Nothobranchius furzeri: one gene and its partners. The protein of the gene in region 2 interacts with the protein of the main gene of each other region in a pairwise test. Links are inferred from orthologs where the notes say so. Each region holds a gene or a part of one and is shown on either strand. Other genes may lie near its edges. The genes, in order: pcmt, rpia and stk16.

Region 1 (8,937 bases), on a different chromosome or scaffold from region 2:
AGAGTGGGCGAATACTGAGTTTAAGAGTTTTAAAAAGGATTAAAATCAAACAACACAGCAGTTTTCAAGCGGCCTGTGTGTAATAGGAATCCATTTGATGCTATTCAACAACAGGTTGCGCATTAGCCTGCTAGCTCCGATAACAACAACTCACCAAAGTCCGCCGCTGTCGCTTTTCCTATTATTAACGGACAGTAGTGGTTTGCTGACCCTCCTCGGCGTCGAGGACGCGATTTGAAGTTAAAATGCCCTTGTTGTTCCGCGCCGACTGGTTCCTAGTCTTGTTGAATTCCTGGGATATCTGAATGACAAGTACAACAGCTAAGCTAACGACGCACCATCAGACGCTGGACTTTCACAATAAAAGTCAGTGGAGAAATTACTTTTTTGCTAAGTTTAGAACAAAATAACACTAATAAAACTAATGAAGAAAATTTTAATGCTTTTTTTTATAAGTTTTTTTTTGCTAACCTGTTAATGAAGTCCAAACACATTTCACAGCACAAATCTTAGAAATAAAAAAATAAGAGCATTAATATGTATAAAAATAAATCAATTTCCCTTTGGGTGAGCACATAACATCTATTTGTAAATTTACAGAGCAACATAAGAGCTCACAAGGCTGACTTTGACATTTTTATGTTGGTAGGTTTGATTTACAATTTTACTTGATTTGTCAGTATAAAAAAACGTAACATCCTGAGACAATTTGAGAAAGTTACATTTTATTTCTTTATTGTTTTTTAAGTAATCTGTACAAAACATTATTAATCTGAACAATTGTGTACAGAATGACATACAAAAACACTAATCCATATTCTGTCACTGCAAAGAATGAAGCATTGCATCAGACACAGAGGTCTTTCATTGCGTAGGTATATTGGCTTTTTGTGTAACAAAAAAAAAGTCTTCCAATGTGTCACAAAACATCAAATTAAAATTTGCATTCATGTATTTATTAGTCACCTCCAGATCTTTTAAACTGGGACCTGTTTGTTGATAAAAATAGCCTCTCCATCAGTTCCACAAACTAAGCACTGTCCAAGCACATCCAAGCTGTTGACAGACAGCGTCTGGCTGGGCAGCATGTGGGTCGTCTCCAGGCGGCTTTTACTGGAGTCTCCGTTGAGCCAGGCACTGATGAGGGACTGGTTTCCTCCAGCAAGGGCCATCGCACTGCGAGAGGTCACGCTGCTGTTTCTGCTACCTGGAAACACAACAATAACACTTTTTACAGTGAAATTACGACAAATAGTACAACATGACAATGTTTAATAGACTGACCTGGTGTTGGACATTATCAGGAAATTCTTTGTTTATTTAACCCTAAATAATGTAAACTTTCAGTAAAACATTCAACTGGATATTTTCTTGATTATGGCTTTTGTGTTTCCATAGAATCTTTATAATTAAGAAAATAGAAGAAGTACATAGGCAGCCTTTTAAACTGAATACCAATAATAATAATAATAATGATTATTATGATGAATAGGACTTGCCTTGTAGAAAGGAGGGCATGTCTGAGTGGGAGGACGTCTCCCAGTGCAGCAGCGATCCATCCTCTGAACACGTGAACAGGTGATCTGGGTTGGTAGGGTGGAAGTGGACCTCCCACACTGCCAGGAAAGTTAGACAAAAAGCATTAAAAAAGTGAAAAATATTTAAATATGTGTGTAAATTATATGTCCATTAAATAATTAAAAATGTACATCTTACTTTCAGCTGAGTGGGCCTCCATGAGGGATGAGGGCATGCTGCCTTGCCTCACATCCCACATACAGAGCATTCCATCCTGGCCTCCTGTGGCTACAATGTGCTGCTGGTTTGGATGTCTGTCAATGCAGTACAAAGGAACTCTGTCTCCTGACCTGATTGGAGGAAAATTAAAATCCACATACATCAGCAAAATAGTAGAATTAAAAATGGGGAAAACGTGCTAAAGCGGATCTTACAAGGACAGAATCTGTGATGCCGAGTTGCTCTGTTGTCTTAGATCCCATAGCTTTATTTGTCCGATGGAGTTCACAGTCAAAATCTCCGTCGTCCTCAGGTAAGTCACAGCATGAATCGTGCTGCTGTCAGCATTCTCTACCAAATGTACCCGCAAAAGCATGTTGACTTGACACCGAGTTAAAGTGTACAGAGTTCTGAATGGGGTGGTTTAATCTCACCTATGACTTGAGCCATACAATCCTGGTCGGCTCTGAGGACAATAATCCTGCCGTCCTCCCCAACTGTGATGATCTCAGGGCTGCTGCACACAACTGCAGTGCAGGGAGCATTGTCACAGGGGTAATGGTGCGCTTTCACCCACTGCTGGGAAACTGAGATTGTCTGATGTAAGAAGAAAAAATGATTTTATAAATAAACAGCAAAGGCAGCAACACAACCTTCATACAGGAGTTGACATCTTTTATGAAAGCTCTACTGCACCTGACTGTTGTGATGGTGGCGGAAGATGGTGACTGCTCCCGTTGATGAGGCCGTGACGATTCTCTCTTGATCCAGGAACTATAATCAAGTAGTATAATCAAGTCTAATTTGGAGGAATTGGACAGCTGAAGCTCGACTAAAACTGAGTCATGCAAAACAATGTCCCACGCACGTGTCAAAATTTCAACAGAATGGCTGCAAAACAAATGAGTCTGTGTTGCAAATCCTCCTGCTGACTATAACAAGGCTGTGCACTGAGAAATCCTGCAGACCTACAAAGAAACAAAACTATTGATGCATAGAACAACAGATTTGCCTTCTGTATTAGCAAAATTCTGAAATGCGCAGAAAATGTACTTTATTTGTTTTTATGTGCATCTCTGCAGGGTTCATTGTTGTTTTAATTTCTTTAAAGTGCGTACAGCACTTTGGTCTGTCTTCTGGTCGATGTAAAGTGCTTTATAAATAAAGTTGATGGTGATGAATAATTGCATTATTAGTATGTTATGACATTATTGTTACAGCGTCTTACCTGGAGGCCAAGAACATCTCCATCGTGCTTGTTTTCACAAATAAGCTGCGGATCTCCTTCAAATCCATCTTCCAGGCCCGAATTTTCGTAATTACCCACGGACCAAATAGATATCTTGTTTTCCTACAGAAATAATTTTTTTTTTAAATAAAGGCCACATCCTTGCAAAAAAAATGACCAAAACGAACCTGACAGACACACAAAAAAGCAAACTATGTGTAACAAGTGTTAAATCCTTTTTGACAGTTACAACGTGTAAGTGTGCATAATCAGGAGAAACACAGAACATTTGAAAAACTGGGTAAATTTGGTTCACCAAAAATATTCAACTAGCCAACCTCGTTGTCCCACGATCCCGTCGCAAAGATTTCTGGTTGTTGTAAAAACGAAGACGACACAGGACGCCATCTGGCCTTGCTGACTTTTTGGGACACGTACTTAGCACTCTCCATGAGAACAACCAACGTTTCTGCTGCCTAAATACGAAAAATATTCTTATTGATGTTAGCTTAGCTCTATGTACGCACCCACTAGCTTTAAACGTAAGTACGGTGGCTCAACAGGATCAAACAATCTGATCTGCGTTTCTCGCAAGAAATGTGAATTTGTACATTCCGCCACCTAGCGGTCGTCTCCGTTGTTACTGCGGCAAAAACCTGATAAAGCACTGCATGGCTGAGGAACGTGGCTTTTATTCCCTTTCGTCTGACGCTGACTTTGATGCATCATGAACAGATTAATTATATTCTAAAATGACATATTTTTCTGCTTGGTCGTGCATCTGAGAGGCGGCTCTGCTCTGTAAAATCATTTGGATGTCTAGTGACGTATCCGCCGCTACGCCGTCTGCTCTGGAGGTTGTCAGCTTCTTTGGTAAAACTATTGGCGCAGGCGCGGCACTTACAGCTGCTGTCTACTTACTCCGTAAAGTCTGCTTAATAATGGCCTGGAAATCTGGAGGAGCCAGCCACGCAGAGCTTGTCAACAACCTTCGCAGTGAGTCCGGTTGCAGGTTTAAAGCGGCAGCAGCGATGAACTTCACCGCCGCGTCGCCAGAAAACGTTGTAGTTTGGAGGCTGGGGTTAGCTTAGGAGCGGTAGCTACTAGCAAGCTATGTTTATGGTGACCCAGCGTCTCCTCCCGCCTCTCCACCCCTTTTCCTAAACCACGTTTTTCGCTGTGGGACCATGTGTGGGACAAGGCAACGCTTTTGTCACAGCAGGGGGGAAAAACCCAGCAGAAATGACATTTCCGTTTTGTTGTAAATCGCAGAAAAGTGGTGTCCTGTGGGAAGTTAGCTTAGCATGTTAGCAGTATGTGCGTCATTTGAGATTTTATGCTACTGCCCACTGTCATTGATGTCTGTGTCTTCTACTGGACTTCAATGTGAATGACAGTAACAGCTGTACATGTCCGGATAGTTTCTGCTGAGCTTTAATACTCGGATACATTTAAATAATGACAAGTTGCTGTATCACTGCAGCTGTTAGCTACATAGCTCTGTGCCAAAGCCCACGACTCATTTCCATTTAAGAAGCCTGATTGTTGAACATTTTCAAATTTCTGTGCATATATTTTAGCTGATGTCTTTCCATGGACATTTAATATCCTTTCACAATATTTTAATAAGAAATCGATCAACCTTAGTCGATCTGCAGAAATCAAAACAGTTTCTTTATTGTTTGCACACATTACAACCTGCAAAATGTGTTTTAAATTATCAAACAAAAAAGTCAGAGTAATTTTGAGAATTTTGTAGGAGGGTGTGCCTAGCGTCAGCTTGGCTTTCTGGGCTTATAGACACGACCTATTTTTCCAGTTTATATCTAGTTACCAGTTCAGATCTTGTTTTTTTATATTCTAAATTAATAAAAGTTTATTCATGTAACCAGCCTGTCAAAAAGACAAACTATGAAGTAAAGAAAACTGTAATGCTGGCATAGAAGTAGGGATGTAAAAGTCAACCGAAACCAGGAACCGATACCAATGCAGTTGCCTGAAAGTGGCTTCACCATAACTTGTCATTTCTGTTCACCTAATATTTCAGTTTTGTGATCATTTCTATGAATATATTTTATTTTTTATCTACCTCACAATCTTTTCCTGTTGAAAGCAGAGAAGAAAATAAAACCTGTATTCCAATTCATTGCATTATTTGTGTGGTAGAAGTATCGGCGAGTACTCAGATCCAAGTATCAGTATCGTATCGGTTTGGACAAAAGTGGTATCGGTGGATCCCAAGTATGCTAAAAGACATACAGTGTCATTTCCTGGTTCTCCAGGACAACAATCCAGCACATTTTAGACATTTCTGTTTCAACACACCTGATTAACAGGTTTCTCTGGACCTTGATGACATGTCTAAAAGGTAATATAACCACTGAAAATCATTACAATAGCAAAAGCATCCTGGTTATTGTTCCAGGAAGACCAGGATTGGACACAACTAGTGCAAGAGGAACCCCTGACAATTGTCTTTATGGTGTTTTTGTGATCAAATAAAAGAAAAAAATGTCCTAACACCTTCTGTTGCCTTTGCAAAATACTGTACATCAGTAAAAGATGGATGACTTAGCTGTTACGTGGTCCAGAGTCCACTATAATCAACATCATGGCTTCCTCTGCAGTCAGTCAATGATGACTACTGTAAAAATATCTTTAGACTCTTTTTCTAGTGCATTTAGCAAATGAAGATGGGATATCTGCAAGCGCGATACTGCAAATTAATTCTCACTCTTAAGTATCTACCAGGTCTATTTGTATTGTGTGCAGTCTGGGATGTTATTGCAAGCTGCAAGTTTGCCAAAAGCTGCGTTGTTATTCACTGTGTTATATTTTCATTTATAGGGAAATTAACGTAAGTTATACAGAGTTTACATTTTTAGCAGCTCACAAGTTTGCAAAGCTGTGCAAAAATAACATTTATTAAATTGAAAGCCTTTAAAAGAAAGTCGTTACTTTGATAATTTTTAAATCAAATTGGTTAATCTTACAAAAGCAGAAGCATAAAAATAAACAAATAAAAGGTTTGATTCGTAGTAATCAGTTTTTCTTTTCTCTTTTTTGCCTCTTGTGGTCTGACCTGTATAGACATTTAACCCAGAGTTTGCATAAGATGCTTTTAAAGAGGTCACATGCAGAACGCATGCTAATTCACCGCTAACTTACTTTCCTGGTAAATAAAGGCAGTTTGGACTGTCTCCAAAGCCTCACCTGTTTCACTGGGCTGCCTCCAAATTTTAACATAAATAAAATCATGGTGGACAGCCAGCAAATAAATTCGTGTTATTTTTTTATTTGTAAATATGAAAGAAAACGACAGGAAGGAAGCAGCTCAAATGGTTTATTGATCATTTAAATGTCAGAAATCAGTGGTGGGTGTCTATTTGGCAGTTTTATTTGGAGTGTGTCCTAAAGCTGCGCGTTGCTCCGTGGGTGAGGGGAGCGAGGAATGAGAACCGCCTGCTGTTGGCTTTTTCTGTTTTTGGCACAAGGTGCTGCAGTGATTGAGGATGGATTCAAATTTGAATTAATCAACAGTTTTTGCATCCTTTCGGCTTCTTTTCAGCTCCAAACACGGATTATTAACTTTGTGTGGTCGGTGCAGCCTGTTTTTTAGCTGCTGTTTATAGTTTATCTGACATGTCCACAAGAATTGGTCTTGGTTTCTAGTTGGGGGTGCTGTAATATGCAAATGTATGACTTTTCATAGTTTTTCCCCCTCAATTTTCAAGAATAAAGCAATGATATCTTATTGTATTTTAGTGAAAATGTGTTCAATTTTTGCATTTTTTCAGTATCTAAATTATTACTTTTATAAATGTTTTATTCTGTTTTAGATTCACCTGACTGTCGTTAGCCACCAGGGGTTTTTGCTGTAGGTGTTGTGGTTAGAGCTTTCTCCCACATTATGTATTCATTTATATAATGCAACACAAATCGGGTGTTTTTTTTTAATGGGGGAAAACGTGTGCACAACAACACATCCAGTTTGGCGCTATGCAGTCGTTCTTATTGAGTTGGTGATAATTCGCAGTGTTGAACGTGTTGCAGCGCCCTCTAAGCAGCAGCAGCAGTAATTGTGGTGGTTTGTTTCTTTTCTGCATCAACCCTTCTGCCCTTCGGCTGCAGGATTATGTAACGTCTCTCTGCTCGCGTTTCCAGAACACGCCGTGACACAAACTCTTTTGCATCCTCAGAAAATGGCATTATTAAGTCCGACAAGGTGTTTGAAGTCATGCTGGCCACAGACCGAGCGCACTACTCGAGGTGTAACGCATACATGGACTCGCCACAGTCTATAGGTAGGTGTGTTCACGGATCATCGACGCGTGGCAGTTGGACATCAGAGGATAAACTAATCCTTCCTTCTTTTATCAACAGGCTATCAAGCAACCATCAGCGCACCGCACATGGTAGGCTGTTTCTGCACTCTCAATCTTCTGTTTTAGTTAAATTACCGAGACTTCATTTGTGCTTGCCCCCCACCCCTCACCCAGCACGCCTATGCACTGGAGCTCCTACATGATCAGCTGTGCGAGGGCGCCAAAGCTCTGGACGTCGGCTCCGGCAGCGGGATCCTGTCTGTTTGCTTTGCACGAATGGTGAGCCCACACACATGACGGGTAAACACATACGAGTTCTCCTTGGCAGCGCTGTGATGTGTTCGCTGAACCAATCGCTGTAGAGGATTTAAGAATCACGACGGTTCGAATTGACGTTTTGAGCTTAACACTGTCGTCTTCTGGGCTTTTCTTTCCTTTTCTAGGTAGGTCCTAAAGGAAAAGTTGTAGGAATCGATCACATCAAAGAGCTGGTAGACGATTCTATAAACAATGTGAAGAAAGATGACCCCAGCTTGATAACGTCAGGCCGAGTCAAGCTAATAGGTAAGATGGATTCAGGATTAGAGTTTAATTTGGACTTTTTGAACCTGCTGAAGAGCGTGCGTTGCTCCTTACCGGTGGAAAATCTCCCGTTTGCCCGATAGGCCGTCTGCAGCGCTAAATAATTGAGCAGAGCAGCGAGTTCCTACTTTCACCTTCTCAGCAGGAGGCTTGAAGCGCTCTTACAGCCAGGTCATTCACCAACGCAGGCAGACACTCGTGTTCCTCTGTAGGGCTGCGACGAATCAGAAGTGACTTCTATATGACATCACAACACATTTACATTCCCTCGTGTGCACCGCAAAGTAGGTAACGGGGGAACCTTGTTTTGCAGCAATAATCTGCACAGAAGATTCTAGATAGTAGCTAATAAAAGAAATGGGTTATTTAGATTTCTCTGCTTAAATTGGTGAAAAGTCGCCAGCTCTAGGAACAGCAGCGGCAGCAGATTTTTGGACGAGTGACGAATCTGTCCGTGTTGTGTCGAGGCTGGCAGCCTGGAACTGATACCCTGCGGTGTGTTTTCAGTGGGAGACGGGCGAATGGGACACCCAGAGGAGGCGCCGTATGACGCCATCCATGTTGGTGCAGCAGCTTCCAACGTCCCCCAAGCTGTGAGTCATTCGGAATATTTTAGGTTCTGTTGGAATCATGACGCTGGAGGTTTACCCGAAGCATTGACATAATTATTGTTGTTTTGTTATTATTGTGTTGTAAGATCAGTTATAGTTGAGGTTGATGCAGAAAGCGTCTAAAACCTATAAGATCTGGGATCTAAACATTTTTTCTTTCAGTATTTTAGAGTAGATGTTTCATATTTTTTGCATCTAATGGATAATATTAGTGCACTTTTGTTTTGCACTAAACTAAATTCTACATTCTCTATATTTTATACAAATATTTATAATTTGTTCATGCTCTAAAAAGTGTGATGGTTACTAAACTAGTTTACTGTTAGCTGTGTTTTTGTACCAGGCACTCTGATGCAGGCTGTCAGGTCTCTGTATGACCAGCGCCAGAGCTTGGTCCATATTGTCAGCAGGAAGTCGGGCTCTTTTGACCTTTGTCACCGATTCTGTTCATAAC
Region 2 (8,567 bases):
CATTGCTATTGATGGAGCAGACGAAGTGGACTCTGAGCTCACACTGATAAAAGGTGGTGGGTGAGTATGCAGTAAAAACACACACACACACACACACACACACCCCTCAGGCCCTGCTGAATGATGTTTCTCACTAAATGTTCCTCTGTTTGACAGCGGCTGTTTGACTCAGGAGAAGATCGTTGCTGGCTGTGCGAAACGATTTGTTGTTGTTGCTGACTACAGGTCTGTATTGACTGGTTTACCTTTAGAGTTTAAAGAGCAAGTCACCCCCAAGACTCGGCATCTGTGGCCTCGATCCACTCATGAGCCATTGGTCTGGAACGATGAGGCTCAGGGCTCCTCTCTTCCTCCAAAATTCTTCCTCCCTTTCCGTTCTTTCCTCTGGCGAAGGAGATGCAGATAAAACCTCCCATCACAATTGACTGCTCAGTGTTTCCCTTAGAAATTTTTGCAGTGCATGCCGGTTAGATTCGTGTCCGACTTGACGCCGACTTGCTCTGACGTCATGCATACGTAGGCAGCGATAACCTCGTGAGATCAAGGCGGCTGCAGATTTTGGAGCAAGGCGCTGCAGTTGCTCTCCACCGGCTGCACAACCTAGGGCATGGCGGGAAACGCCTGGCTCTCACCTGATCTAAGATCTGATTGGTTCCCATTTTGATCCAAACACCCTGTGGTAGAATGTGAAATGTTAGTTGGTCACATGTATTCTGTAAATCGTGTTACGTAGATGCTGACAACTATGTACGCCATACAGAGAAATGTGATTTTCCTTTACCACATTTCCTATAAACACTCTAAAAACCTGCAGCTGACAACCTTTACTTATTAATACAGTCATGTCTTCCTATGCACATGTCTACAGTATATGACATCCACAAGCACGTGAGGCTGTGGTTCAGTTGCTAACAGGCACCAGAATTTGACACTAGTATGAACTCTAGCGTGATATCTTCAGCCATCGTCGCCTGCATAAGGAAATGTGTCTGACTTAAACGCCGGCTTTCAGCCACTCCCCCTGCTGCGTCCGTCTGCTCTCGTCCGTTTTCCAGGTGAGGCGCTGCTCATCTCGGACAAAGCCAGTGCCTCCTTTTGGCTCAATGTTTCAAACAGGAAGTATGGGTGGAGTAAGACACTAGCAGGGTGGTGACTTAATCTTTAAGTTTTTGGATGGAGGGTTTGTTACCATCAAACTAAACAAGTCTGATTTGTGTTTTGGAACACTTTGTTGTCCTGTTTAACATTTGTGTTGATTTCATCTGTCAGGAAGGACTCTAAGGCTCTAGGCCAGCAGTGGAAGAAGGGAGTTCCCATTGAAGTTATTCCCATGGCCTATGTTCCCGTCTCCAGGATGATAGTTAGGCGCTTCGGAGGGGAGACTGTCCTAAGAATGGCTGTCAGTAAAGCAGTAAGGGACCGATTCACACACCTTCATTTTTTTGTCTTTCACGTTTTTTTCTTGACTGGAGAAGCAGAAGAATCTCCGGCCGCACAGTTTGATCAAGGTGTTGATCCTGGAATATCCAGGGGAGACCTACTCCAGCAGTTCTTCAGCACAGGTCCCACAGATTGTGTGTCGGCCACTAGTGATTTTCTTTCTCTGCTGTGTTTAAACAGACTAACATCTACAGGACCTGTCCTTCCACATTGTTGTATTTGTTGGGGTTAAATAATCTGCGGTAATCCTTCAGTGTCCTTTTTTAATTTGGTTAGGCAGTCAACTCATTACCCCTATTTCACACTGGAAGCATTAGCAGCTTGGAATGGCAGCGGATTGTCACGGCCTCAAATATAATTCATTATAGTCTAAAGTGGTGATGCCGACCAGCCGCGACGCGGGCATTTTCAGGTTTGTTCCAGAAGCGACATGCCACGCCGCTAAAGATGGGATCAGGTTCTTTACCACAAGTGGCTTCTGGGGCACATCAGTTTCTGCAGTTAGCATGGGGCAAGACAGGAAATCACACACGGTTTCAGTGTAAACCCCCCACCCCGGTATTTTCAAAATAAAAGACTATTACAGCAAAGTAATTTCATATCTATGTGGAGTACATCAATAATTGTGACGTAACGGCTTATTTACTCCCTGAATTGCTCCAGAAGTGCAGCAGTGTGTTTTTCATGGCTTTCGTTCTGCAGTGGAGAGGAACAACGTCATAAATGCTATCAAATGTCATTTCCTTCTTTTTGGCCAAATGGCGCATGGCATTAACAAAATGTGAACCATGAAGTATTGAAGGAATTTGTGATGTTGTGAGTCCAGTGAGGAGCACAGCGAGGAAGCCGTTCCGTGGCCAAGGCTCTCCCAGCGCGTGCTGGACCGCATTGAAGCTTGTGAGTAAAACGTTCCACGGCCATTCCGCGCTGCTGGAGTTTCCAGTGTGAAGTAGTGGTTAGGAACCCTCTGTAAAAGGAGCTGCCATGTTTGAAAAGACTATGCAGACCAAAGTGGTTGATGTTATTAAAGTCAGGTGGTGTGTTTGTGGATTTCAGGGTCCTGTCGTCACAGACAACAGCAACTTCATCCTGGACTGGAAGTTTGAGCATGGTCAGAACTGGAAGGAAGTCAACACTGCAATCAAAATGATTCCTGGTGAGGAACTTTTATACTGTTTACATCCCGCAGTGGTGTCCAGCCCTGGTCTTATCAAACTTGTTTTAGTTGTTTCTCTGCTCCAACACACCTGATTTTAACTCATTCACTGCCAATGACGACTAAAGCCGTCCTTTACATTTTTTGCTGTGTGGGCATCGGAACGAGCCCCCGCACCGTGAGAACAAACATCTCAGCTCTAAAGCCGATCTTCATCCTCATATGTCACACGTCACGTGACCAGGAAACAGAAACTCCACGTGTTAGGAGTAGGGTTGTCACGGTAACCGGTGTAGCGGTAAACCCCGGTAAAAAAGTTGACAATAATAATAACCGTCTTGTTTTTAAAAAACTACATTATCTCGGTGGATTACCGTGGCTGCGGTGTAGGCGCGGTGACCCTTACCAGCCACCGTATCATCTGCTGAAGTTGCCGGCGGCACATGCGCACTTTGTTGTTTACGACCAAAAGTTTCTTGAAGCTAAAGCTGAAATAATGGCCAAAGGAGGAGACGGCAGCGCTCAGGACATTTATTATCCCTCAGAGAAGACAAAGTGGGAAGTACGGGCATCTTTTGGATAATTGAAGAATGCCGAGAGACAGCTGATAGAAGACGGCTATCCTGTTTGCAGCACGTGCAGAAAAAGTGTCTGTGAAAGGCAGCAACGCTTCAAATCTCATGACACATCTGCGTGACCATCACCCACAACTCTACAGTCAACGCAAGGCAAGCTAACGTTAGCGCTTTAGCTAAAATGCGTGATCCGAGGATTTGGGTTGAGGGAGAATGCAACGAGTTGCTATATAAAGCAGCCGCAGCGCCGCTACCTGCATGTAAACCGTGTCGCGGACACCGCCATGTTGAAATGACGCTATGCATTACGGGGCTCCAGGGGCAGATAAGAGTTGGTCTCTCTCCGAGAATAATTATGAATTTAACAATGATTACTGCCTGATGACATTTTCCCACATCTGCAAAGCTCACTGGAAGGACACAAACCGAGGACAATATTTTCCTGATATAGGGTTTATTACTCAAGTAAGGGTAAAAAAGTATCTGATTAGAAGGCTACTTGAGTACTGAGTATCATCTGATCTAATACTTTTAAATGATGACATCAAACAGACACAAAATAAGAAGTTATGGGCAAATATTGGTATTTTAAAGACTACAGGGAAAAAAATGTAAACAAATAAACAACATAATTACAAAATAACACATTTTAGGCTAAATTTAGGCTAAATATATATTTTTTAAAAACAAGACGGTTATTATTGTCAACTTTTTTTTTTACCGGGGTTTACCGCTACACTGGTTACCGTGACAACCTTACCTGATCGGTCTGCTTTGATCTATTTTGAAAATTCCGATCAAAACCGATAGGGGCGCTATCGGCCGATTACGATCAAATGCCGATCCATCGGTGCATCCCTAAAACTGAGGACAATATTTCCTGACATACAGGGTTTATTTAATTGTGTGAAAATGTAACACGTTTTAAAAAAATACCGCGATAATACCGAAAACCGTGGTAATTTTGGTCACAATAACTGTGAGGTTACATTTTCACACCGTGACAACCCTAGTTAGATCGTTTTTGGGCCGCTGCTGTAAAGAAAAGTGAGGCGCAAACTGGAAAAGCTTCTGCCGATCACAATTGGTCAATTACAAAAACGGATTATGAAAGAACAGATATCGTTTGAAACGTGCAGATTCTCCCTGATGTAAGAGGCGAGTCTCCTCTTTGTTTTGGTAGTTTTTACGTCAACATTATCCTAGCGCGCAATGTTCTGTGCATCTTAAAATACAGTAAAAATGGTGAGAAACGCTGGCAGCGAAGGGCTTTACCGATCAGGAAATGGCTGGCAGTGAATGAGTTAATCAGTGGAATCAAGTGAATGTGAGCCGAAAAACCACTAAAACATGCTGGCTGGTGGGATGGGATAACTCTTGTTTCTGAGTTTTTGTGTAATGTGATAAAATAAAAATCCATGTTTACGTCAGGAGTTTGTGCGTTCTTTAGGTGTCGTAGAAACCGGGCTCTTCGTGAACATGGCTGAACGAGCATACTTTGGGATGGAAGATGGAAGTGTGCAGATTCGGGATGCTCCAGTCAACTGACCAGTTTGCCACACTCATGGGTAGTAGAGCTGCAACTAATGGGTTACCTGTTTAATAGATGACTCATCAGTAATTTTACATCCTGATGAGTCATCAGTTATTTAGGGGATTCCTGCTGTCTGTGGATCTACCTGTTTGCTCCACCTGCGCATGGCACCCTGAGTCTGCAGCATAAGATATTTCTACAAATTAATTCATGAGCAGTGAAACTGATGGATGTCCAGCCAACTGAACACCAGTTAGAGGTTTGCTCTGAAGGTTTTCACTGTAATTGCAAACATTTTGCTGAACCTAAATCTTACGGATCATACACTGACCAAAGCTACAGCCCTAGCTGTCGCTCCTTTTAATTGACCAAATCTGTTCCACGAGAGCCGTCGTCAGGAATTATTGCCTCAGAAAACACCAAAGCAAGAAGAAACATCGGAGCTGTTGACTTTTCCCGTCCATGCTTTTGATTTGATGAGTTTTAAGTGCCTGATGAGGAAAGTCGAGTCCTACTGCTGTAACAGAGAGCTTTGACTGGAGGGACGTATGATCGAAGTTCTTGTCTGGTGAAACAGTAGAATGAAATAAAAGCACGCCTTTTAAAAGCTCCCATTGATATTCTGTTTGTGTAATGAAGGACCAGTTTTCAGTTATTCGATCATTACAGTCCCGGTCACCTAAACCAGCATAAACTGGTGCAGCCTTGGAGAGTATCCTGGTTTGGTGTGACAGCGATAAACCAGAGGAAGCTTTCGGATAAGGAAACAACTGGAGGAAATGATGCCAAAACAAAAAGTGCAACACGAAACTTCAGGTCTTCCTTGAATCGTCTGCGAGTTTGAGGTGTTTTGCATGTATTTGTGTGTTTTCTCATGTGTTTTTTTTACCTCCACCTTTTAGCAGAAGTTGGGACCATGCCATTAGGTATAAGCTTATACCTGCCTTTATGTTACTATGGTGTTAGGTCACTGGGTGTCTAGAGCCACTTTACACTAAAGTTTCTGTTGTATAAACCAATGTCAGCTGCTGTTCCGAGCCTTAGATGTTTTTGTTCTACCATCTTTAACGTGTTCCTGTGGAATTGAACTAGTCAGTCATTAGGATCGAATTCTGAAGCCTCGGTGTTTGTTGGAGGAAAACAGACCTCAAATGTACTTGTACACCTTTCCCCTTTGTATGACTTCAGTGTTCAATGCCTGTAAAAGACTGCCCAGTGTTGTGCCATACTCATGCTTATAAAAGGATTGATGATTAAAGTGTCTGGCAGCAGTGTGTCCATGCAATCGAAAGGCCACATTTCCTGTGTCTGCGTTCGTCTCTCAAAAATGAGGTCTATTCGTGAAAACGTGGTTCAGGTCCATGCTCACCACGAGACAGCAGCGCCGTTACCTGGTAGGACTATAAACTCCTCATCAGTAACACGGGCACGTAAATGTAGGCTAGGAGCGTGGCTTCATAAACACGTTTCTTTGCTTGATTTGTGTCACAGTCGCTGCATTTTAGTGAAAGTGTAAAACTGAACTCGTAACCGGAAACAGGAACTGCACCGATTACTTCCACCGGGCCACGTTGTTGTTTTTCATGTCGACGGCTCTTGACAACTGCGTCTAAGCGACAGCTGAATTAACCAATCAGGTGCTCACATGAGGTCACTCGAAACTGATTTAGGCCAATAACATTACGTGATTTCATTATCTTTTCTGTCATTGGACGAACGACTAAACATCCGACCAATCTCAACAACCAAACAGATTTTGCCCCCGGGGACTTTTTACGTCACTTATCCAGTGCGCACGCGCACCTGTGACGAACAGGAGTTTAGCCAATGAAACGGAGTGTTTGGAGGCCGGTGTTTCCGGGTCCGCCTCTTTGAGTGACGGATATCTAACGCAATCATGTTGTGCTTAGTAAGCGAGGACGTGTAACTGACAGCGAAGTACGCAATGAGAAACGCGCGCATTAAAACGCAAGGCCCGTGCGGGTTTACGGTCCAATCCCGGTGTGGAAACGAGGCGGGATTTAGCGTTACTACGGAAAGTCTGGGTCTAGTATAAAGAGAACAACATGGTGTCCCAGAGGCTGTTTATGTTTACTTAAAGAGCTCGTTCAGCGGGGCGTCCAGCACGCGACACTTTTATAACCGTAACCTCGGCTCTTTTATACTTTCACCTTGTTTTTATACTAACTTTTACCAGGGCCGTGGCGTGTGCGTCTCCTCTTTCACTAATGTGCCAGTTCTACAAATGGAAAGGGGGCTTCACTTTGGAGTGAGCACTTCCCTGCTGCTCCTGCTCCTGCTGCTCAAAGCGCCCACCGGTTCCGGGACCTCACCCGGCTGGGTGTCGGGCTCGGCAAAACATGGTCCGAGAGTCATGGAGCGGGGCTTGGAGAGCCTAGGCACCCCCCCGGTCCCCGGTGCAGACGTCACCGTGGAGGACGACGAGAACGGGTCGACAGGTGAGGCCGACGACCCGTACGAAGACGGTAACGGAAGCGTCCGCTCCACAAGGTAAACACGGTGCTAGCTGCTGACATCCATTATCGGACACGCTCGTTTCCAACTTCAGGTGACTTGGAAATTACTAAAAGTTGACGGCTTTTACTTTGATGTGTTTCACCGACTTTCAAACCTGCGACGTGAAGGCTGACGTGACACCTGTGTTGTCATGGAAATGCCCAATAACGTGAACGCCATGAGCAGAAAACAGGAAGGTGCTGTCTGTGTCCGATAATCGAGTCACGTTAAGTTTCCCGGAGCTGCGGTTGTGGCTGCTGTGAAAAGATGGATTTTAGAGGTCATTTATGAACGTGAGACACCTCAGCGCGAGCAGGAAGTTCTGGTTCAACAGAACAGAACAAAAGCAGGACGTCCCAGGTGAGCTGGGACAGAGGTTTGTTTGTTTCTGGTGTGCAGTAAACACCAAAGCTGTCTGGTGTCAACAGCAGAGGTGCTGCCAGCTGGAGCAGGAATCACGTGATCTAATGGCTCCAGCAGATCTAAACATCTCAGGCTGTCAGAGGGAACGTCCAGGTGAACGGTCCACTCAGGTTGCAGCAGCTGCTCAGAGAGAGAAGCGTTTTCCTCGGCAACAGCCGGTTCAACGCCCACCCTCGGTGCCTGTTCCTGATGCTGTGTGTGTTTATTCTGAGTGTATTTGTTTTACACACACTCCTGCAGCTCCCTTTGGCTGGGACCTAACCCCAGACAGCACCAGCAGGCTGTCTGTGGTGTTGATGTAGTTGGATCAAAGTCCTGGAAGCCAGAAACCTGTCCAGGTATAGGTGCAGCCTCTGAACATCACAGCAGCAGCAGCAGCAGCATGGTGATGGGTTTTGGTTCAGGCAGATGTGATCTCACAGCAGGGGGCCGCTGAGCTGCTGCAGGACTTGTTTTTGGTTTACTCTCAAGCACAACTCTGGTGCCACAATGGTGAAGCTGTTTGCTGCACGCTGGAAAGGAATCTGAAAGTAATTAGTGGAGAAGCTTTTCTAGGTACGGTGCAGGTTATTCCCCTGCCGGCAGGTCACACCCTGCTCCCTCTCTGCACCTTCATCCCCTAACATTTCTGCTCCCCTCATGAGCCGCCTCTCCTTCACCAAGGAGCCTTTAGTGCACACTAGACTCCCACTTGTGATTCAGACTTCAGAGCATTTTCTAACAAGAAGTTTGGACCTGAAGTGGCTTTTGATGAGGAGGAATCTGTTGAATCTGATCGAAAACGGGAACTTGTGTGACTTTTTTGTTTAGTAAAGAGTGTCCATGAATCCTGTGTGTCCCCATGTCTCTGTGTGTCCCCACATGTCTCCGTGTGTCCCCACATGTCTCCGTGTGTCCCCACATGTCTCCGTGTGTCCCCATG
Region 3 (6,894 bases), on a different chromosome or scaffold from region 2:
AGCTGGTTTTGAATAAAGATGTCATTAATTTATAAAGACAAACTTTGAATGAGAATCTTTAAATATTTGAAGCGATTTTATTTCACAATTATTAAAAAGTATACAGTACAAGACTGCTACATTTTTCTTTATACACCAATTACTGTGCATCAAACAGATAAAGGTTTAAACATAATAGTCAGTCTTCATCAGCAAACTCATATCAATATCAGTAACTTTACAATAGTTCTTCTCACCAGCCGCAGTAAACCAGTTTTACTTTAGCATTTACAAAAGCACAAGACTTTATATCCACTGGTCCTCTCCAAACGTTGCATCTAAAAATATTTAAACTCTTTAGTCTGCTTTTCAACGATCCAGGCCGAGTTCAGCCACCACATGGTCCAACTGCACCGCATCACAGAAGCTTTAAACTTAAATGCCCAAAACATTAGTCGTAAAAGTACCACTAACGTCTGCTAAGAGACTGTTTGAGATGCAACTGTGCCCTGAGAAAACAAAAGTGTGAAATCCTCACACAACATAAAGCCATTAAACTTGAATAGTTGGAATGGGTTATTACACTAAACTGCTCAAAAACACAATAAAACCAGAAGTAAAAATGTTACCCTTTCATAAAATACCATCTAACATTCTTTAGCTGTGCAATAATTACATTAGTCTTTCTTTTTTGTTGTGGAGGAAAATACTTTTGTGTTCAACAAAATCTTACTGTGACTGCAGTCTGAGCAGAAACACTGGGAGAAGCTGGAAGATACACAAAAACGAGGAATCGAGGTGAAAAAAGGAGTACAAGTAATTTAGGGTTGGGTATCGTTTGATTTTGAATGATTCCAATTCCTCGTTTCGATTCCGGTTCCTATCGATTCCCGATTCCGATTCTTTCAAGACGTGACATGCTTTACATGAGCCAGCTAACCACAGGTCCTACTTGATGAAATAATCTTAACTTCAACATGAATTTTAACTCTATGAACAATAACATCACCTTCATTTAGACAAAAACGTGTTTTGGAGAAAAAAAAGAAAAAGACTTTCAGCACAACCAGTGTGTTTGTTTCTGACCACAACCAAAGTCTGGAAGAAGCCTCTCCAACATATCCAGAAACGTCCAGCTGTTTTCAGCTAAAACTCTCAGGATGATCATGTCCAGGATGACTGAGAACTACACCTCCATGCTGCAGCAGCATTCAGTCAGAACAGGAAGTGAAACTTGAATGTAGCTGCTGTCAGTAACAATCTAACAGATTTTAAACATTAAAACTCAACAGAAATTGTTCAAAAAAGTCAATTGAAATGTTCACAACTTTGTGTGTGATTTATTATTATTATTATTATTATTATTAATATTTATTGTGGCAGAAGCTGGTGTGGTCCACCACAGAGAAGCTTCTTTAGCATGATGACTTTAATTATTCTACATGTTATTGTTCAGCCTTCTGATGCTCACACACACACACACACACACACACACACACACACACACACACACACACACACACACACACACACACACACACGTTGGTGAGTAGCTGTGTCTGACTGCTGACGCTCCGTGTGTGTTTGTATTTCTGCAGTGAGACAAACTCACCTCACATCGTCCAGAATTTGTTCTTTAAAGCTTCTATTAAATCCACCGTGTTGACGTATTTTAACAAGTTTCCTCTACGCTGCAGGAGTTAAAGTTTACATCACGGAGTAAAACTTCGGCAGACGCGTTTGTTTATATTTGGCCGCTGTGCGCCGGGTGGGGGGAGGGGGGACGCGGTGCTGCACACAGACAGCTGGTGTGATCAGCTCTGAAAAGCGTTGATCACAATTTGCAGATCACGTTTATTTTTCAGGGAGATCGGCCGCGGATTCCTCTTCCGTCGGCATTCTAGGAATCGAACAAAAAAACTTTGAACGATTCCGGGAAAAACTAACAGTTTGAACCGGTTCCAATTGATGCTCAATGCCCAACCCTAACAAGAATAAAAGAAACTAAACTGTACTCCTTTTTTAGGGAGCGCAAGGTAATATGTACTAAAATGTAGCATTTATTAATGAGAACATTAGCTAAAGCGTTAAAATCTTCCCTTCATCCCTGTAAAAACAAAGTAGAATATTCTAAAGCTCGTCCTTGAACAGGTTCCATCTTTCTGGTTTGTTTTTTTGTACAGGCAAAGCCAGAAAGACATAACATGGCAAGTGACTTGATCAATAATATTTTAATCATATTTAATAATAAAATGCATTGCTTGCTGTTTGAAAAGCCAGTGAGTATGTTCTCTTCCAGTTAAACAAAAGAGAACAAAACGAGTGATTTTAGCTCAACACGAACGCCTCCGTCTTAGCCTAACAGAACACCCGTGTTTATTTTTGTTTTATTTGCTCAAAACATTGATAACAAATTAAAACTTTCTACTTTTAAGGCTGAATTTCACTTAAGGCGTTTCATTTAAATCGGTTCAATGGGAACAAAAGACAAAAAAAGGCGATTTTTCAAGCTGAAAAGATAAAATATCCACTCTTTTACAACAATTTAAATATAATAAGATTTTAAAGCGAAATTAGGAAACGCTGACTGAAGTGGATAAAAGAGTCCAGAGCTCAGGATGTGGTGCGGTGAGCAGAAGTCAGACCATGTTGGTCTGAGTGTTTGGGCTGTGACTCAGCAGGTCCTGAACCTGGTCAAGAACCCAGACAATGTTTGGTCTCTCCTGTGCATTTGAGACCATTATGGAGCTCAGCAGCACGCGGAGGCCCTCTGAGTACCTGGAAAAAACAAACACCAGGTCAGAAACCGTCATTCTATGTTTACTTGAGATTTCATTTACTTTTCACACTTTTATTTTAACAATCACCAAAAGAAGCAGCAGCAGAACAGCAGAATCAATTTCCCTCTGGGATTGATAAAGCATTTTTGAATTGGATTGAATTGAACCAGAGAAATCAGGGAAGTTTGAATTCTGACCTGCAGGACGCTGGGATGGTCACCGGGTTCTGGACAGCCAGAGCAACACTGTCCCCTTTCTGAAAGATCAGGTCATATGGTCCCTCTAACATCATCATGCAGTACAGTACACAGCCAAGCGACTGAAGGCACAGGAGCGGATCAGTCAGGAACATTCCAGCTCACCCAAGATGTCAGTGGTGTAAATTTATATAAACAAAAACAGGGAGGAAGAAGACATGAAGTTCTTACCCAGATATCAGTGCGCTCATCTATAATGCAGTGGCTCTCTACGTTGAAGAGCTCAGGAGCCCTGTAGGAGATGGTGCACCGCTGGGCTGCCCAGTCCTGGACGGTCATGGCTTCTCTGGATCCTCGGACCTGAAAAAATTTACTTGCATCAAATCACTCACAGCATGAGCAACATTTAAATCTATTTTCCTGATTTTGAGAGGAATATTTTTTTTGAGAGACAAATAAAGTCTAATTTCTGGATATCTGACACTCAGCTGGGTTGTCATCACTAAGAAAAAATAAAATACCACAAAAAATTAAACTACAAAAAATTTAACAAAAAACCAAAACATCACTGGATCTCATGTTTACATGATATTTACTTTGACACATGAAATAGACAAAGAACAAGTGAACTAGGAAAAGCGACAGAAACGAACTTAAAACACAACTAGTTTAATATACGATGCTGTTACGCTGCCATCTAGAGGTGAGAAACAAGAACTGTCAGTTGAAAGAATACTCAGGTATTTTCTTACATCTGCACAAGGACCCTACTGTCTGGCATCACTGTTTTCTTCATTTAAAATCCCCACTTTATTCAATTTTAGCATGCCCAAAAAATTAAGTTAAAACACAATTTAACAACGTTTAGTAAAATTCTAAACTTTCTGGAATAATAAAATTTGTAATTGGTTATTTGAATTGTTATTTTGTTAAAATTTGTTCTCAACTGCTGACAACAGTGAGAAAACAGGTGATGATTTAAATAGTCTGTAGAAACTAATGACCTGTTCCTCTTACCTCAATTCTTGCGCGGTTCATTGAGCCCAGATCCATCAGGAGTGGCCGGTCGTCATCGTCCAGCAGCACATTAGTGGGCTTCAGGTCTCTGTCAGCAATTTATTTTTGTCTTAATTACAAAGTTACACAGTGGGTGAAGAAGTCAATGATCACAGGTGCTCTTCAGAATATTTTAAAATGTAAACTTTACCTGTGGGCATAGCCTTTATCATGAATGGCCTTCAAACCGGAACAGATTCCACGGAAGATTTTTAAAATCTGTTTTTCAGGCATTAAGCTCCCCTTCTCTCTTAGCTTCTCCAAAACAGACCACAGGGTTCCTTTCTGTTAACAAACATACAAAGGAGTCAGAATGTTCCTTGAGACATCTTCGTCATCAGGCAAACTGCTGTAGCAACTCACTCTGATGTAAGGCAGAAGTAACCAGGCTTCAGTTTTCCCTCCACCTTCAACAAAGCTGTGTGCAACCAGGCTCAAGATGTTGGGATGATTGAACATCTGATGCATTTCCACCTCTGTCTGTGCCTCCTGACGAGCTTGGCGATCATGACATAAGATCTTTTTCAGGGCATAGAAGTGCCCATCCTTTGCCCCCTCAACCAAATCAACAAAGCTGAAGCCGCTGAAGAGAAAGAACAGAAAGATCACATGTTGTGCTCCATTTTAAAAAAGGGGTGAACAAAAATCAATAACATTACCATATACAAGTATGAAATTGTAAATCAGTAGAGAGATCTTGTCAACTTACCCTTCATCTAGTTTCTGGACAAAGTAGTATTTTTTGCTGTCAATGGTGATGGAGCCACGAGAGCACACACACAGGGTCTGTCCCATGTTGACTGGTGCATTGTTTAACCCAACATTTTCAAAAGGGCCTGAAAATAAAATAAAACTATCAGATTGGCGTTCAATGCTGTGCCAAACTGAATTATTGTAATATTTTAAGGTGGTTTCTGATCCTACGGTCTTTTTAAGAAAGTATCTGTAATTTCTACGGACAATGTTTTTAAAACTTAAAAAAAACTGTCATTGATTTTTTATTTCTGATTTAAAATAACACCAATTCTACTTGACTAGGAGCCCTTCTAGGTTTATAAGCTGCCGATAGAGCCACTTATGTATGAGCTGACCCAACCTCCCACCCAAACTTGGACTTCCTGACCAACCGCCCTCAACATGTCCGACTGGATAACCGCTGCTCATCAACAATCACAATGAACACTGGTGTACCACAAGGCTGTGTGATGAGCCCTTTCCTCTACTCCCTTTTCACCCACGACTGCAGACCTGCTGATGGTTCCAACACCATCATTAAGTTTGCAGATGACACCTCGGTGTTTGGCCTCATAAGTGACAACGATGAGACCGCCTACAGGGAGGAGGTGGACCGTCTGACTGAGTGGTGCGACACAAACAACCTGCTGCTCAACACTGAGAAGATTAAGGAGCTCATCGTGGACTACAGGAGGAATGCTGACCCACATCCACCCATCCACGTTAAGGGGACGGCAGTGGAGCGTGTGAGCAGCTTCAAGTTCCTGGGAGTCCACATCTCCGAGGATCTCACCTGGACTACCAACTGCTCCAAGCTGGTCAAGAAGGCTCACCAGCGCCTCTTCTTCCTGAGGACTCTGAGGAAGAACAACCTGTCCTCAGACATCCTGGTGAACTTCTATCGCGGCACCATCGAGAGCATCCTGACCAACTGTATAACAGTCTGGTATGGGAACTGCTCCGCCTCAGACCGGAAGACACTGCAGAGGGTTGGGAAAACTGCCCAGCACATCGCCGGAGCACCACTTCCTGCCATAAAGGACATCTACAGGAAGCGGTGTCTGAAAAGGGCTAGGAAAATCATCAGAGACCACAGTCACCCATCACATGCACTGATCACCCTGCTGCCCTCTGGGAGGCGCTACAGGAGCCTCCGGACTAAGACCACCAGGTACCGGAACAGTTTCTTCCCAAAAGCTGTCAGACTCTTAAACTCTGCCTCCTGACATATGACCCATGTTAAACTCATGGACTGATTGTATTAACTACAGCCTGTACATACTTATAGTCATAGAATATTCATAACATACTTCATACCGTGTACATTATAACATACGTAATAGATCCATTTCTGTAATATACTTACACATCTATATTATTGCTAACATATATTGTAATACATCTATATCATGACTAAAGCACTTTCTGGATGGATGCAAACTGCATTTCGTTGCCCTGTACCTGTACATGTGCAATGACAATAAAGTTGAATTCTATTCTATTCTATTCTAAACAGGCAATCGGAGTCACCGACAAACAGGCTCAACGAGTGAAACCTGAGGCCATTACTTCTACACGAGCGTTTCAGTTGTTTGGCAATTTACTTTGGTTACTCTAATTTCAAATGACCCATTTTCTGTCCAGGATGTGTTTTTTAAATATTGTCCCTTGTTCTCGACATGCAGGTAGACAGGTGAGTCCTGATCTTTCATTCCTTGTACCATAATGTGTTTGTGAGGTGGGTGTCAAGTGTCTCCTATAGTAAAGATCTGTGATGCTCTTGTGCTCCGCTCAACCTGTTAGGGATGTTTTCTCCAAAACACTTCCTGCCTAAAACAAATTGATAATTTCATACATAAATGCATTCGAGGAAACGTCAATACACGCGACTGCTAAGCGAAGCACTTGTGGAAAGATAAAGTTAGACAAACAAATTTTGTTTGATGTTTGTCTGCATTAACCCCTGACACGTTTAGCTAAAAACATGAAAAATGCAGCAACGCTGGCTAACACACATCCACTATTTTCTACAAACTAAATACACTTACGGTACAAAAAAATCCGACTTTAACATTAATTTCAATTTTGTATCTTTGTAATTTTAACCGATTCCCAAACACAAGCGGTAATAAACAATAACTCTGTCT

Evidence for each region.
Region 1: the proteins of rpia (region 2) and pcmt interact in binary tests that used the Homo sapiens proteins (3 or more experiments, as listed by UniProt). The two-hybrid records come from large-scale screens. The link is inferred for Nothobranchius furzeri from reciprocal best matches to the Homo sapiens genes RPIA and PCMT1.
Region 3: the proteins of rpia (region 2) and stk16 interact in binary tests that used the Homo sapiens proteins (3 or more experiments, as listed by UniProt). The two-hybrid records come from large-scale screens. The link is inferred for Nothobranchius furzeri from reciprocal best matches to the Homo sapiens genes RPIA and STK16.

The regions. Positions count from the first base shown.
Region 1 is NC_091742.1:11,413,639-11,422,575, forward strand, and holds the start of pcmt (protein-L-isoaspartate(D-aspartate) O-methyltransferase), read left to right. Parts: upstream 1-3,623; 5' UTR 3,624-3,780; coding exon 3,781-3,961; intron 3,962-7,164; coding exon 7,165-7,269; intron 7,270-7,348; coding exon 7,349-7,380; intron 7,381-7,464; coding exon 7,465-7,569; intron 7,570-7,733; coding exon 7,734-7,854; intron 7,855-8,379; coding exon 8,380-8,465; intron 8,466-8,937. Other genes in the region: nucleoporin Nup43, read right to left, coding at 978-1,207, 1,500-1,616, 1,717-1,868, 1,953-2,088, 2,172-2,334, 2,434-2,511, 2,966-3,088, 3,304-3,417. UniProt on the Homo sapiens protein: Initiates the repair of damaged proteins by catalyzing methyl esterification of L-isoaspartyl and D-aspartyl residues produced by spontaneous isomerization and racemization of L-aspartyl and L-asparaginyl residues in aging peptides and proteins.
Region 2 is NC_091758.1:5,543,575-5,552,141, reverse strand, and holds the end of rpia (ribose-5-phosphate isomerase), read left to right. Parts: coding exon 1-60; intron 61-156; coding exon 157-225; intron 226-1,269; coding exon 1,270-1,411; intron 1,412-2,496; coding exon 2,497-2,596; intron 2,597-4,621; coding exon 4,622-4,719; 3' UTR 4,720-4,935; downstream 4,936-8,567. Other genes in the region: eif2ak3 (eukaryotic translation initiation factor 2-alpha kinase 3), read left to right, coding at 6,951-7,216. UniProt on the Homo sapiens protein: Catalyzes the reversible conversion of ribose-5-phosphate to ribulose 5-phosphate and participates in the first step of the non-oxidative branch of the pentose phosphate pathway.
Region 3 is NC_091749.1:40,860,535-40,867,428, forward strand, and holds the end of stk16 (serine/threonine-protein kinase 16), read right to left. Parts: exon of another isoform or gene 6,796-6,894; intron 6,765-6,795; exon of another isoform or gene 5,541-6,764; intron 4,849-5,540; 5' UTR 4,808-4,848; coding exon 4,722-4,807; intron 4,596-4,721; coding exon 4,376-4,595; intron 4,298-4,375; coding exon 4,164-4,297; intron 4,062-4,163; coding exon 3,974-4,061; intron 3,317-3,973; coding exon 3,188-3,316; intron 3,079-3,187; coding exon 2,957-3,078; intron 2,758-2,956; coding exon 2,619-2,757; 3' UTR 58-2,618; downstream 1-57. UniProt on the Homo sapiens protein: Membrane-associated protein kinase that phosphorylates on serine and threonine residues. In vitro substrates include DRG1, ENO1 and EIF4EBP1. Also autophosphorylates. May be involved in secretory vesicle trafficking or intracellular signaling.